Linked DNA regions of Mus musculus. The protein of the gene in region 1 purifies or fractionates together with the protein of each later gene. This does not show direct contact. Links are inferred from orthologs where the notes say so. Each region holds a gene or a part of one and is shown on either strand. Other genes may lie near its edges.

Region 1 (3,472 bases):
TAAGACACAGAACTCTAGTGCCCAGAACCCCATCTCTAGGAGGACACCAAGCCCAACTACAGAGATAAGGAGGGTGGGAGGGCCTTCCCACAGCCTGATCCAATCAGGAAAGAATTTGAGAAGGGACCATTTGTGCAAGTCTTTGTGCATTAAAGGGGAGGCCAGAGCTTCAAAGCCAGGCTTATTAAATGTGCCTTAGGGGGAAAAAAAATCAGAGCCAGATGTGGCCAGAGTGGCTGAGCGAAGCCCTTCCCTGTAGGCCGCTACATAGTGCGCTGTGACAGTTTCGCCCCCTGAAGGTCACCTGCGGTTCTCCTCAAAGTTGGGCCGAGTCAAAGCCAAGATCAAAATGAATCCCTGGAGGAGCATACTCTTGTAATTAGCTTCACCTGGGTCTCTGTCAAGATTAAAGGCGGCAGCCCGGCCTGTTCGCCAGACTCTTTGATAACTTTCGGAATGGCCTCTTCAACAGAAAATGACTTATGCCCAGACACACACCTGCCACCCCAGAAAGCTGTCGCCTGCAGGGTCTTGGTCTTTCTCCCTGCGAAAGGTCACTGTTGGTGCCAGCATAAGAACTCCACGACAGAATGGTTGGTGCAGTCCCACAGGGCCTACCCTGGAGTTGAGCGCCCTTCAGACGCTCTCCTCACACATCTGGGTTCTGGGGATACGTGTGGGGTGCGCCTCTACATAGAGGCCGGGACGCTCAACTGGGGAGAGGACACTTCTTGGGTGGGAACCTCCTCAGGGTGCCCTGAGCGTCTTGTTTGCCTCACTGTCCCAGCCTGGTGCTCTATACCTGGGACGATAGGCAGAACACACACTACATTTCCAGGCAGGGTCAAGTCATCCCCTGCCTTGGCAAGAAGGGAGGGTGACGAACGCGTCTGAGATGGCCTCCATCCTCAGTTCTGGGTTCTCCAGGACCTCACAAGGTCAATGTGGGTCTTTTTTAAGGGTCCCTGTACTCTGCCAGGGAGGCTGGCTGGCAGGGAGAGACTGTGAGGCCCAGGACCAGCATGGAGGGGAGGGACAGATGGACACGGGGCTCAGCCCTATCCACCCTCCTGACTGACCAGGCATAGCCCCTTCTTAGTTACTGATAAGCATTGCTGCTATAGGTAACTTGAGTGACTCATTGGCCCTGGTCTCTGCTTTTCTGAGCTTCCAGCATAGCCTCTGACTCTGCCCTCCCTTTTTTTTTTTGTTTTTTGTTTTGTTTTTGAGACAGGGTTTCTCTGTAGCCCTGGCTGTCCTGGAACTCACCTTGTAGACCAGGCTGGCCTCGAACTCAGAAATCTGCCTGCCTCTGCCTCCCAAGTGCTGGGATTAAAGGCGTGCGCCACCACGCCCGGCTGACTCTGCCCTCCCTTATCAGGGAAGGAGTCTCTGATTTCTGGCAGAGCCCCTACCACATAGTCCAGCCCTGCTCTCATGGTTAAATAAACGAAGGGCTGTGTCTTTGGTCCTCAGTCTTGTTCACTTGGACCTGGCTAGATCTCCAGAGAACCATACCCTCTCATCAGCTTTCCCTCATGGCTGTTCATATTAGAGGTGACGAGAGCATGAGCGTGGGGGGGGGGGGGGCACTAACGGACAGACAGACGGACCCTAGCCACCCAGCAGCCCACTCAGGCAGCTTCTGAACAGTGTGTCTCCAATCCATCCGAGGCCTGCAGAGAGCAAGATGCTCGGGGGCCTGGATCCTCTGAGTTCTGAGCAAACTCCAGAGCAGACGAGGCGGCGGGACGGGCAGGACCCTCACCTGTAATTTCCCTTTTTGCTGAGCTGCTCCTTGAAGTGGCCCAGGGTCAAGCTTTGAGCCTTCAGCATCCTCCTGTATGGAATTTCTTCTCCACAGAAAAAGTAGGTGACAACCAGCTCACTGGCCTGGAGCGCGTGGACACTTGCCAGTTTCTTTGGCTCTTTGTGACTGAAAAAGACATCAGGATGCCACAGACTCAGCCTCGCAAAGCAGATACACACCGACTCCTACGCAACATGAGGTTGTCTACAAAGGAGGCCTGGGGCCTCGAATTACCAAGGGAACAACCTCCAAAGAGAGCTGCAGAGCATGAGGGAAGCAAGCGGTGGTTGTCTTCTGGTAAGCTGATACTATATTCCCCAATGCCTTCCATCGCAAGCATAACCAGGTGCCCACCGGTAAAGACCAGAGAATGCCATGGAGGCAATCCCAGGTCAGGGTTCCTCATGAACAGTGTGCGCTCAAATGCCCTTGGAGGTCTACCCATCATGCCCTCGGAGGCCTATCCATCATTCCCACAGACCCACATTACAGGTGAACAGCCTGTCTCTTCTCACATATCCCTGGCCCCAAACTTGCTGTGCAGTCAGAGATGACCGTCTTCCTGCACCTCAGAGAGCTAGGGATTACAGATGTTCACTCACACGGCCTCCACCTCCATTTCTGTGGTGCCAGGGAGCTAGCCCAAGGCTCGCTGCACAGTCGATGGCAGGCAAGCACTCTACCAACTCTCTTACAGCCCCGCACTCCTGTCATTTTAATGGTGCCATTTACTTTATTTTGGAGTGAGTGGCTTTTATAAAAGCCACCAGTGTTGAGAGTTGGTAGACTTGAGGTTCACCAATTAAAACAAGGAAAGGGTCTAGGAAGGTGTTTACTCAGGACCTCAAACATTAGTCATGGCTTGGGGTGATGATGCTAAGAAAACTTTATCTAGATCACATTCTATAACTCAGGCAGATTTGAAATCCTGTAGACAAGACAGGGTTCAGAGTCCTGAGTAAATGGGTGAGCCAGTTCGAGACAAGGTTTTACATTTCTCCACGCGGATCGTGGAGGCAGACTTCCGGGCAATCTGAGAATCATTTTCCTGCTCAGGGGGTGATGCAAACACCTGTCCAGACTTGCTAGCTCCCAAAACCTACAAAGTAGCTTGTGCATCCAGATTCAGGCACTCTACCTTTCTGACAATGGCTTCGTGCCCAACTTTTGACGACTGAGACCCCCAGAAACCCGGTGTCATCACTGAATTCTTGGGAGCTGATGTCCCGTGACCCTCACTGCTGGCAACATTCGCCTTTAGTGTTGCCCTTCACTAAGTGTGGACACAAAGGTAGGTTCAGATATGGAGTTCCACACACACATCACTCCAGATGGTGACACTTCCTGAACCGTACAACCACACAGAGTAAGGATCCCAGCAATGTCAGAGAGACACTCACTCTTCTGGAGCCAGGCTTGGGTTGGCGAAGGGTGAGGCTCCTGCCTGACCAGCAGCCGAGTGGTTCCTGTCCCTCTGCTGACTGGCCACGCAGCACCTGAGGGTGGAGGAGGGTGAAGAATTTAAGAGGTAAGCTCTCATGCTCATGCCAACTGGGGAGCAGAGAAAAACCACTCTGGCTTCTTCAACAGATGTAGACCCAACCCAACCTCCCTCCCCGCAGAGACCCCACAAGACCTTGTGTTCGCGGACATTCTAGAACA
Region 2 (4,305 bases), on another chromosome or scaffold:
GATTACAAATTGGCTGCCTGTCGGGCACATTTTCCTGGGATTTTTTACTTTGTTGGTCTACGTGGTTTCGGCATATCGGTTGCCAACACGTCAGATTTAGAGATCACACATAAAACTTCAACGTTATGGTTTTGGTAATTAAAAAAAAAAAAAAAGGAGAATACGATTATTTTAATGGTGGACCCCCTTAAGGGCATGGATGGAACTCCCGTTTCCACATCATCTAACATTCCTATTGTCTTCCACCAGGCCGGTGTCATTCGCTTTATTTGCCAGGCCTCTACAGACATCTGAGTCTGCAAACACTATCCAGACCTTTACTGGCTCCCTTCAAAGCTTACTTTGTTCTGTCCCAAGTCCCTCATCAGATTTTAAAGCAATAGCTAAGCAATCTGATCAAGTACGTGTACTTTTACATGTGCTTTCTGGAGATAGCATCTCAACAGAAAGAGATGACTATGCGGGTGGGTATTACAAGTATCACGGGATTACAGTCAGGATTGCCAGTGTCCACTCTAACTTACTCTAGTCGTAGTAGCCACGCCACACAGCTCTCGGATGGACCAAGGCAATGGTCTCCTTTGTAGAACAATGGACGCTGGACTACATGTGAAACCTACTTAGGCAGCAGTGTGCTGATCATCCAATAACACTAAAAACTGCTGCGAGCAATTCTGACTTGAGCTTCCTCCTAGGATTCGAGGTACTGTCCTGACCACATTTCCCCTCACCTGTTTTCGGGGCTGCTTTTGCGCTGGACAGTCGCGCCCATGGACCGCGCTCATCTAGCATGAGCTCATCTCTCGGGGGCGTTTCCAGAAGGCCTGGTCTGGCCTTGTGCGCCTGCTGCAAAGGGCTCCCCCCCCCCCCCCCACGAGATCAGCGGCCCCCCGCGATGGGCGGGCGCGGCTGCCCAGAGGCTCTCCTTCTCTGGAAGCTTTGTTCCCATTTAAGCGCTAGAGGGTTCGGCCCCGGCCACGGCGCCCTACGTCTTTCAGAGAATAGACGTTCTCATAGGCTCAGCACGCGCGGTGGGGAGCCTCGGGCGCACTTGGTAAGCCGCGCCCCGCGGAGCTCCCGGGAATGGGGACGGCCTCACGCCCCACTAGAGCGCTCGGGGCCCGACCCTCCGACCGCAGCATTGTCGGACCGGGCTGCACAGCCAGCACGAGCGTCGGCTCGGAAAGCAGATGCAGGCCGACCACTCATCCCGTCCGCCCGCTTAGGGACCACCCGAGGCCAATCCCACTGCAGCTAGGTCTTGCGATTGCACAGCAGTGAGCGCCTATTGGCCGCCGCCACGGGCTCCTGCACCCTCCTTCTCCCTTTCGAAGCTCCCCTCCCCCCGCGCTCCAGCTCGACGCTGCAGACCAATGAGATGGCACTTTATAGGTGCCCTCCCTCCGCTTTCTTCTTCTCCCCGCCTCAAAGAGGGAGGGGAGGCTCTGACTGGCCCGATGTCCTCGGAAGCCCCCTTCCCTTCACCAATCACCGAGAAAGGTACACGCCCAGCGGAGTTGTCCAGCCAATGAGGAAACGGGCGCGGCGCCCAGCCGTGCAGTTCCTCCCGCGACTCGGGAGTTTCGCCGTCCTTAACTCTTGAGGCTTTTCCCTGAGGGCCAACAGCTCTGATTGGCCACTGTCGCTATTGTCGACTCTTCTCTCTAGCCAGCCACAGGACAAGGAGAACCCTCTTCCCTTCTGTTCGGCTACCTTCGGCATTCCTCGTTGCTGGGGCGTGGTCTCCCAGCGGCGTCTCCTCATTGGTTATCCAGGTCGCTCGGCTTTTTCCGGCAGGAGCTGCAAGCAAGCGACGTCTCTGATTGGTTCCGGCTTGGGTTTCGGCTCTACAGCCGAAGCTGGCGGGCGCGGGCTCGGCGAGCGATTCCCAGACGCCTGTAACGCGGGCGGCGGGGCGCTGGGCGGTGTAAGGGCTGGGTGGGGGAGGAAGGAGGCGGAGGACGAGTAGGAAGGGGGAGGGGGAGTGGGGAAGGGCTAGGCGGCTGCGCAGACGGCGCGCCTCGCACAGAGCAGCCCCCGACCCGGCCGAATGCGGGCTTGTGTCGCCGCCGTCGCCGCCGCCTGGGCCGAGTGACAAAGGAAGGAAGGCAGCAAGGAGGAGCCGGCCTTGCAGCCGCTGACAGGGCTTCGGGCTCCGGGCACAGCGCGGACACTTCCCGAGCAGCCGCTGAGCAAAGGCGAGGGGCGGAGGCCGGCCGTGCCGGGGCCACGGACGGGGGAGGGGACCCCGAGGGACGGAAGCGGTTGCCTGGTTCCCATGTCCCCGGCGTATGGGGAGCAGTCAGGGAGCCGCTGCCTGGGGTCTGAAGGGAGCTGCCTCCGCCGCCGCTGCCGCCATGGCCGCTGGATCCAGCCACCGCCTGCAGCTGCTCCTGGCGCAATGAGGAGAGGAGCCGCCGCCACCGCCCGCCGCTGACTCGCGACTGCGCTGCCCTCCGGTTCACCCGGCCGCCGCCGCCGTCAGACCGCCGGATCCCGCTGCTGCCGGAGCCGCAGCGTTTGCCGTCGCATCTCCGAGCCATCTCCTCCCTCCTTCCCATCCCCCTTCTCTTCAAGCGTGAGGCTCGTGATCCTTCCGCCGCTTCCCTTCTTCATTGACTCGGAAAAAAATCCCCGAGGAAAAATATAATACTCAGAGTACTTATTTTCAATCAAGTATTTGCCCTCGTTCACGTGATATATATATATTTTTAAGGATTCCACTCCACCCTTTTTCTCCTCTTCCAGGAAAGGGAGGTGAAAGAATTGTATTTTTCTCCCAGCTCTAAATCATCTATGTGTTAAATATCCGTACCGATCTGTCTTGAAGAAATACATAGCTCCTTTTTTTTTTCCTTCTTCTTAAATAGCTATACAAAAGGAGTGAAAAGCCAAGAGAACGAAGTCTTTCTTTCTCTTTCTTGCGGGAGAACTTAATGCTGCATTTATCATTAACCTAGCACCCTAACATAAAACAAAAGGAAGAAAAGGATTAAGGAAGGAAAAGGTGATTCAAGAAGAGCCATCATGTCGGGGCGACCGAGAACCACCTCCTTTGCGGAGAGCTGCAAGCCAGTGCAGCAGCCTTCAGCTTTTGGTAGCATGAAAGTTAGCAGTGAGTATCGATTTTATTTTACACCCTTCCTCCACCTTACCATTTAGATAAGAAACCTCGAAATACCAGGATCTTACACTAACAGACCTGATAGAACAGTCAGTGGTCGTGGAAAAGGGCAAAACCAGCCTTGAGTCAAGAAGAGGCAGGCTCCTTTTCCTCCTCCCATTCCCGTACCCCCTCCCCCCGCCTCATTAACCTTGGATTGAGAGAATATTAGTTTTATTTGCCTGATTGGATTTGAAACTTCTTTTCTTACGTTCTCCGTGCTGCTGGTAGTCTTTTCAAGTGCTCCAGTGCCTCCGGGTTAAGCGATGGAAGAAGCGTTCGCTTGCCCATCCCTTTGAATAAAGAAGAGGAGGACAAGGCTTGATTAATAAACCATGATGTACATTTGCCGAGTCCTTGTCTTCTGGAATGAGGGAGTTTATCTTAGTTAGCTCAGGTTATCAGGGTTCTGTATTCAAAATAGAGATATTAAATGCCCCAGCCTCCTAATATTTCCTATTTGCCCGTGTGACTACACAAAGTATTTTTGAATCTGGGGATGAACTTGCTTGGTAACCCACATTGCCGTTGGAGGCAAGCTAGCATCCATCCCTCACTCGTCTAGGGGTGGTGGAAGCTGATAAATATCCCGCAGCAGTCGCATCTCTAAGTGCATTGTTTTCAAGTGGTTTAATGTGTTATCTCTTAACCTTCCTGTTTTGACATTACCAATCTGCCACCATATAATTTGTTTAATCAAAAGGTAACTTGGAAGGAGATTCAACTTTTGATTGAGGTTGTATTGTCATTTTGCCACAAACTAAGTTAAGTGTTGTCACTGACTCCTCATTTAAGTTTAATTTTGAGGTGGCATTGCATTTATTACTTGTTATTATTATTATTATTATTTTTAAGAGTACAAGAGGATACCCTTTTAGGATAATTTAAAATGTGTCAGTATCTGTCAGTCTTTCCCGGGGAATCTGTGCTGAAAAAAAAGAGTCTTGTGTTCTTGAAGTGTTTGGTATACTGAGTATCCAGTGTTCAAATGTATCTATTTGTGGAGATGTTTATGTGGTATTTCATGACAGCTTATTAGAACATAGTTGCAGATTCTGGCCAAAATATCCATGTTGTTTTCCTTATTCGATGAGAAAGAAGAGGGAGGACACAGATAAAACTGTTTTGTTGCTGAGAGGAGC
Region 3 (4,147 bases), on another chromosome or scaffold:
GGTGTTGCTGAAGAGCAAGCATCGCAGGGCTGCCTAACATTCCTCAAGCTGCGTCCTCTCAGGACAGAGGCTGCCTCCACAGGCCTCAGAACTGTAGCTGCTCATCTACTTTACTCTCTGTGGCATGAAGATGTCTTCAGTGAGATTGTTTTAAATAAAAAGGAGTTGACAGGGGCCACAAAACAACAAAAGAAAATGGAGTTAAAATGTTTGTACGTTTGCAAGGTTTTTACGAGTTTGTGAACACCGTTTCAGGAGTTTGTCCCTCGGGTTTGCTTCTGGCCAAGGACACTAAAAATTTACCACTAGGTGATGGGCAGAGACCACGACCTGGCCTCACCTCACCTCACCTCAGCACTGATATTTCAGTTGACTCCATCTACTTTCACTGTCCACTTCCTGCTTAGAAGTACAGCAACAAACGACTGTAAATATACCACTCCACTCCACTCGCCACCTGCAGTGTGCACAGGCTCTTGTCCATGCTCTGCCCTGAGTTTATTTGCAAAAGGGCTCCACCAGTTTTCCTGAGCACACATTTCAAAATACACTCCGACTAAGAAAGTTCCCCATCCTCCACCTTGGCGGTGGGATTCTGGGATTCTGAGACTCGTGAGCTAAGGCTTCACTCACAGTCTCTAGTCCCATCGTCACTACAGCAGTAGATACTTCCCTTCAAGCTGGAGACATAGATACCCAATATACAGTCTCTAAACTAGTGTTCTCAATCTGGGGGTTCAACAACCCTTTCACAGGGGTCACCTAAGACCGTGGGAAAACATTTACATTATGGTTCACAACAGTAGCAAAGTCAGTTGTGAAGTAGCAAGGAAAGTTTTACGGTTGGGGTCACCATAACAGTTGAGAAACTATTTTAACAGGTCACAACATCAGGAAGACTGACTGAGAAGCACTGCTCTAGACTATGAGAAATGATCACATGACAGTTAAACTCTATTTCTTCACGCCTGCATTCGATTAAATGTTTCCCTATCTGAAGATAGTCTTTTTACAGACTGTGAGGCCCAGGACTCTGTCCCAGGCAAGCTAAGCTTTCCAGATAGCCTGCTTCCTTAATTAAGGACTTCAGCCTGGGAGGGTTTGTTGTAGAGAAACATCTGCAAGTTTCCAACTTCCTTGCCACCACTAAAGGCCTTGTCCAGACTCGGCCTTGAGGACAAAGGTTAGGTAGGTCACAGAATGACTATCCCCAGTACCATCAACAATGTTGTCCGCTGTGAAAGGGCGTTCTCAAACAAACCTTGGAGGCACTTCATTTTAATTTCGGGGATTTCTGAATGTTTAAGGTGAAAGTGAACTAAATGTAACTGCGGGCCTTAACTCAAAGTTTGAGCCGGACATACAAAACCGAAATACAAAGGCCACAAGCTTAAGCAACATTAAATTAGAACCAAGAAAGCAAGCTCTTTCCCGGGACGAGGAGAGACTGCACTGAGACATCTGCAAACCTCAAGTAAATAGCGAAATGGCTTCCTAAATCCCAGACAAAACGCTTCACAACTTGGCCATGTGAAAAACATGAGGCAGACTTTATCAAAGGCAAAGCTGCCGTCTCCTCAGCTTGCTGTCTGGTCTAAGCCACCATTATTCATGGCACAAAGCTCTCGTTTCACTAAAACCACTCCTCGATTTCCTCTCGCCGACCTCCGCATACCAGCAGCCCAGCCGCTCTCCATTCAGAGCTCAGGCCCCGGGAGGGGGGCTGCGGGGGGCGCGGGGGAGGGGAGCCCACAGATGTCTGGAGACCCGAGCCCGAGACAAAGCTGCCCCGCAGCCAGCGGGCTCACCGGAGCGGGCCTGGGGTACCGAACTTGGGAGCGTCGGTTCCAAGTCTGGTCCCCCAAACAACACTCAGAACAAGTCGCCAGGCTCCCACGCCCTGGCGGTCCGCGCTCCGGCCACTCCGTCTCGCTCAGAAAGCAAACGCGCTGGGGAGAAACACTTGGAGCGGACCCCACACTTACTGGCTAAGGGCAAGTCCCCCTCCCCCAAGCCCAGGTTTCGGATCCCGCGCACCTCCCCCCCCCCCCGCCTCCAACACCAGGAGTGGCCGGTGACTCGTCCACGGTCCCAAATTCCCGCCAGGACCTCGGCCCCGCAGCCACCAACCCCACGCGAGTCCAAGAAGCCACCCTCCGAGAACACGCTCCTGACGCATCCCGCCCGCTGCATCCAAGTTTGGCGACTCCACGGCTTAAAGTTGTTTGGATTCAAACTCACAGTCAGGTCGTTGCAGGGAGAAAAAAAAATTTGTCTGTGCGTGCTCCACGAGGGACAGAGGGGACGAGCGCCAGGTCTCGCGTCCCCCCGGCTCCGCGGGCCACGGAGGCGAGGCCCCCGCCCACCCCGCCCCCGCGGCGGCCCCAGCCCGGACGCGAACCGCGGTCCCCACCCCCCACGGCGGCCAGCCGTCCATCCGGGCTCCCGGCGCGCGCCCGCCCGGCCCCGGCCCCAGCCCGCGCGTCCCCGCGGCCTCCCGCCGCCACCCGGCCCGCGAAGTTTCCCGCTGGCGCGGCGCGAGCCGGCCCGCCGCGGCGCCGCACCTCAGGCCCGCGCGCTGCTCACTCGCGGCCGCCCGCTCGGCCTCGGCCTCCTGCACTGACGGCTCGGCGCCCACCGTGCTCCGTCTCCGCCTCCCCGGGCCGCGGGCTTCACAGGACACGAGCTGACGCGGCCGCCACCGAGCGAGGGCTTAAGATGGCGCCGCACAAGGAGCGATTTATAAGCGGCGCGGCACCGTGTATCCTGCCGCTGCCGCTCCGCGCGGAGCGTTCCGCCGCGCGAGGACGAGGGGCGGGGCGCGGGCGGGCCGGGGAAAGTAGTCCCCGCCAGTCCGAGTCGCTCTGCGCGTGCGCCGCCGGGAGGGGCCGAGCCGGGGCGGGGCGTCCAGACGCCGCTCCATTGGAAACTAAAGGAATCGAGAGCGGGCCGCCGCCGCGGGCCGGGTGGAGTGCGGCCTCGGACGGCGCAGGTTCGAGGCTGCCATCACCGGTGCACCGGCCGCCACACCCCTGAACCACCATTGGACCCCACCACACTTTACCGCTCCCAGGAGTGTCCCGCTTCCCTTCCCGCTGTGCCTCTGGAATCCGGACAGGGAACCTGGGGCCCAGCCACCTTTCCTCCCCACCCCAGGAGGCCTTGGAGTCCCCAAGAGTGTCTGCGAACATCTATTAACAAGTGATTCAGCTCCACCACTGCGTTCACCAGCGTGATTCCTAGAAACCCCATCTTACCCAGACTCACTGGGTCAGTAGAACCAGGCGTGGGGACCAAGGACAGCGATTTTTCTGTATTGTTTGAGAAACTCGAGTGTGTTGCTGAGAGGACCTGTGGGTAACCTCTTAAATTTTCAAAACTAATTTTGTATCCTTCGAGAGCTCCCCCCCCCCCAAATCATGACAATAGGGTGAAGTTGGATCTTCTCTTGGAAATGGCCCCATTGTTGTCCTTCACGATTGGCACTTGTCAAAACTGGAGCAGTTGGGGTGAATTGGCTGTCTCCAGCCTATTATTCTGAGCTCACGTCTCTTCCCAAACAATGGCAACAGGGAAAGTTGCCCCACTGCCTTCTTTCATCCCAGCGCTGTAATTAACGCAAGTAAACAATAGGTCCTTATGTACAGGTACTGGCAGGAAGCCCATGCATCACTGAGGCAGGGCCGGTGCTGTAGGGCCAGCTTAGTTTTTAAATGACTCAATTTTCTATCTTAAAGACATATCACCGTAACTCTGTGAACCACCACAGTCCACCATGCTGGAGCTGCTCAGTGAGGGCCTTTGTCTAGACCTTTCCCCTCTGCAGCTCTGCTCGGATTTCCGGAGAGTAAACTCTGCTGCTGGCTGGGGCTGACTTGGCCTGCCATAACTCAGAGAGATAGAGCAGGAAAAGGTATTTTACCAAAGCCCTACCAGTGGTGGTTGCAGCTACCAACCCCTAATTTTAATTGTCACATGCAGAGTTAAAGAATATTTGGTCGATTCGTTTAAAATTAGATAGCTGACTTCACCTCTGTCCGGGGTTTCCTTTCTTTTCTTTTCTTTTTCTTTTTTTTTTTGGGGGGGGGGGGGGTTCCTTTCTTTTCTTTTTCTTTTTTTTTTCTTTTTGACACTTGCTTCTTTTTCT

The links.
Region 2: the proteins of Axin2 (region 1) and Gsk3b purify together in Homo sapiens (affinity purification with mass spectrometry; 9 studies listed by BioGRID and IntAct, with this or other methods). This does not show direct contact. The link is inferred for Mus musculus from reciprocal best matches to the Homo sapiens genes AXIN2 and GSK3B.
Region 3: the proteins of Axin2 (region 1) and Ctnnb1 purify together in Homo sapiens (affinity purification with western blotting; 4 studies listed by BioGRID and IntAct, with this or other methods). This does not show direct contact. The link is inferred for Mus musculus from reciprocal best matches to the Homo sapiens genes AXIN2 and CTNNB1.

What each region holds. Positions count from the first base shown.
Region 1 is NC_000077.6:108,944,344-108,947,815, reverse strand, and holds part of Axin2 (axin-2), read right to left. Parts: intron 3,307-3,472; coding exon 3,211-3,306; intron 1,937-3,210; coding exon 1,769-1,936; intron 1-1,768. UniProt on the Homo sapiens protein: Inhibitor of the Wnt signaling pathway. Down-regulates beta-catenin. Probably facilitate the phosphorylation of beta-catenin and APC by GSK3B.
Region 2 is NC_000082.6:38,087,499-38,091,803, forward strand, and holds the start of Gsk3b (glycogen synthase kinase-3 beta), read left to right. Parts: upstream 1-1,502; 5' UTR 1,503-3,027; coding exon 3,028-3,115; intron 3,116-4,305. UniProt on the Homo sapiens protein: Constitutively active protein kinase that acts as a negative regulator in the hormonal control of glucose homeostasis, Wnt signaling and regulation of transcription factors and microtubules, by phosphorylating and inactivating glycogen synthase (GYS1 or GYS2), EIF2B, CTNNB1/beta-catenin, APC, AXIN1, DPYSL2/CRMP2, JUN, NFATC1/NFATC, MAPT/TAU and MACF1.
Region 3 is NC_000075.6:120,932,056-120,936,202, reverse strand, and holds the start of Ctnnb1 (catenin beta-1), read right to left. Parts: upstream 2,804-4,147; 5' UTR 2,565-2,803; intron 1-2,564. UniProt on the Homo sapiens protein: Key downstream component of the canonical Wnt signaling pathway.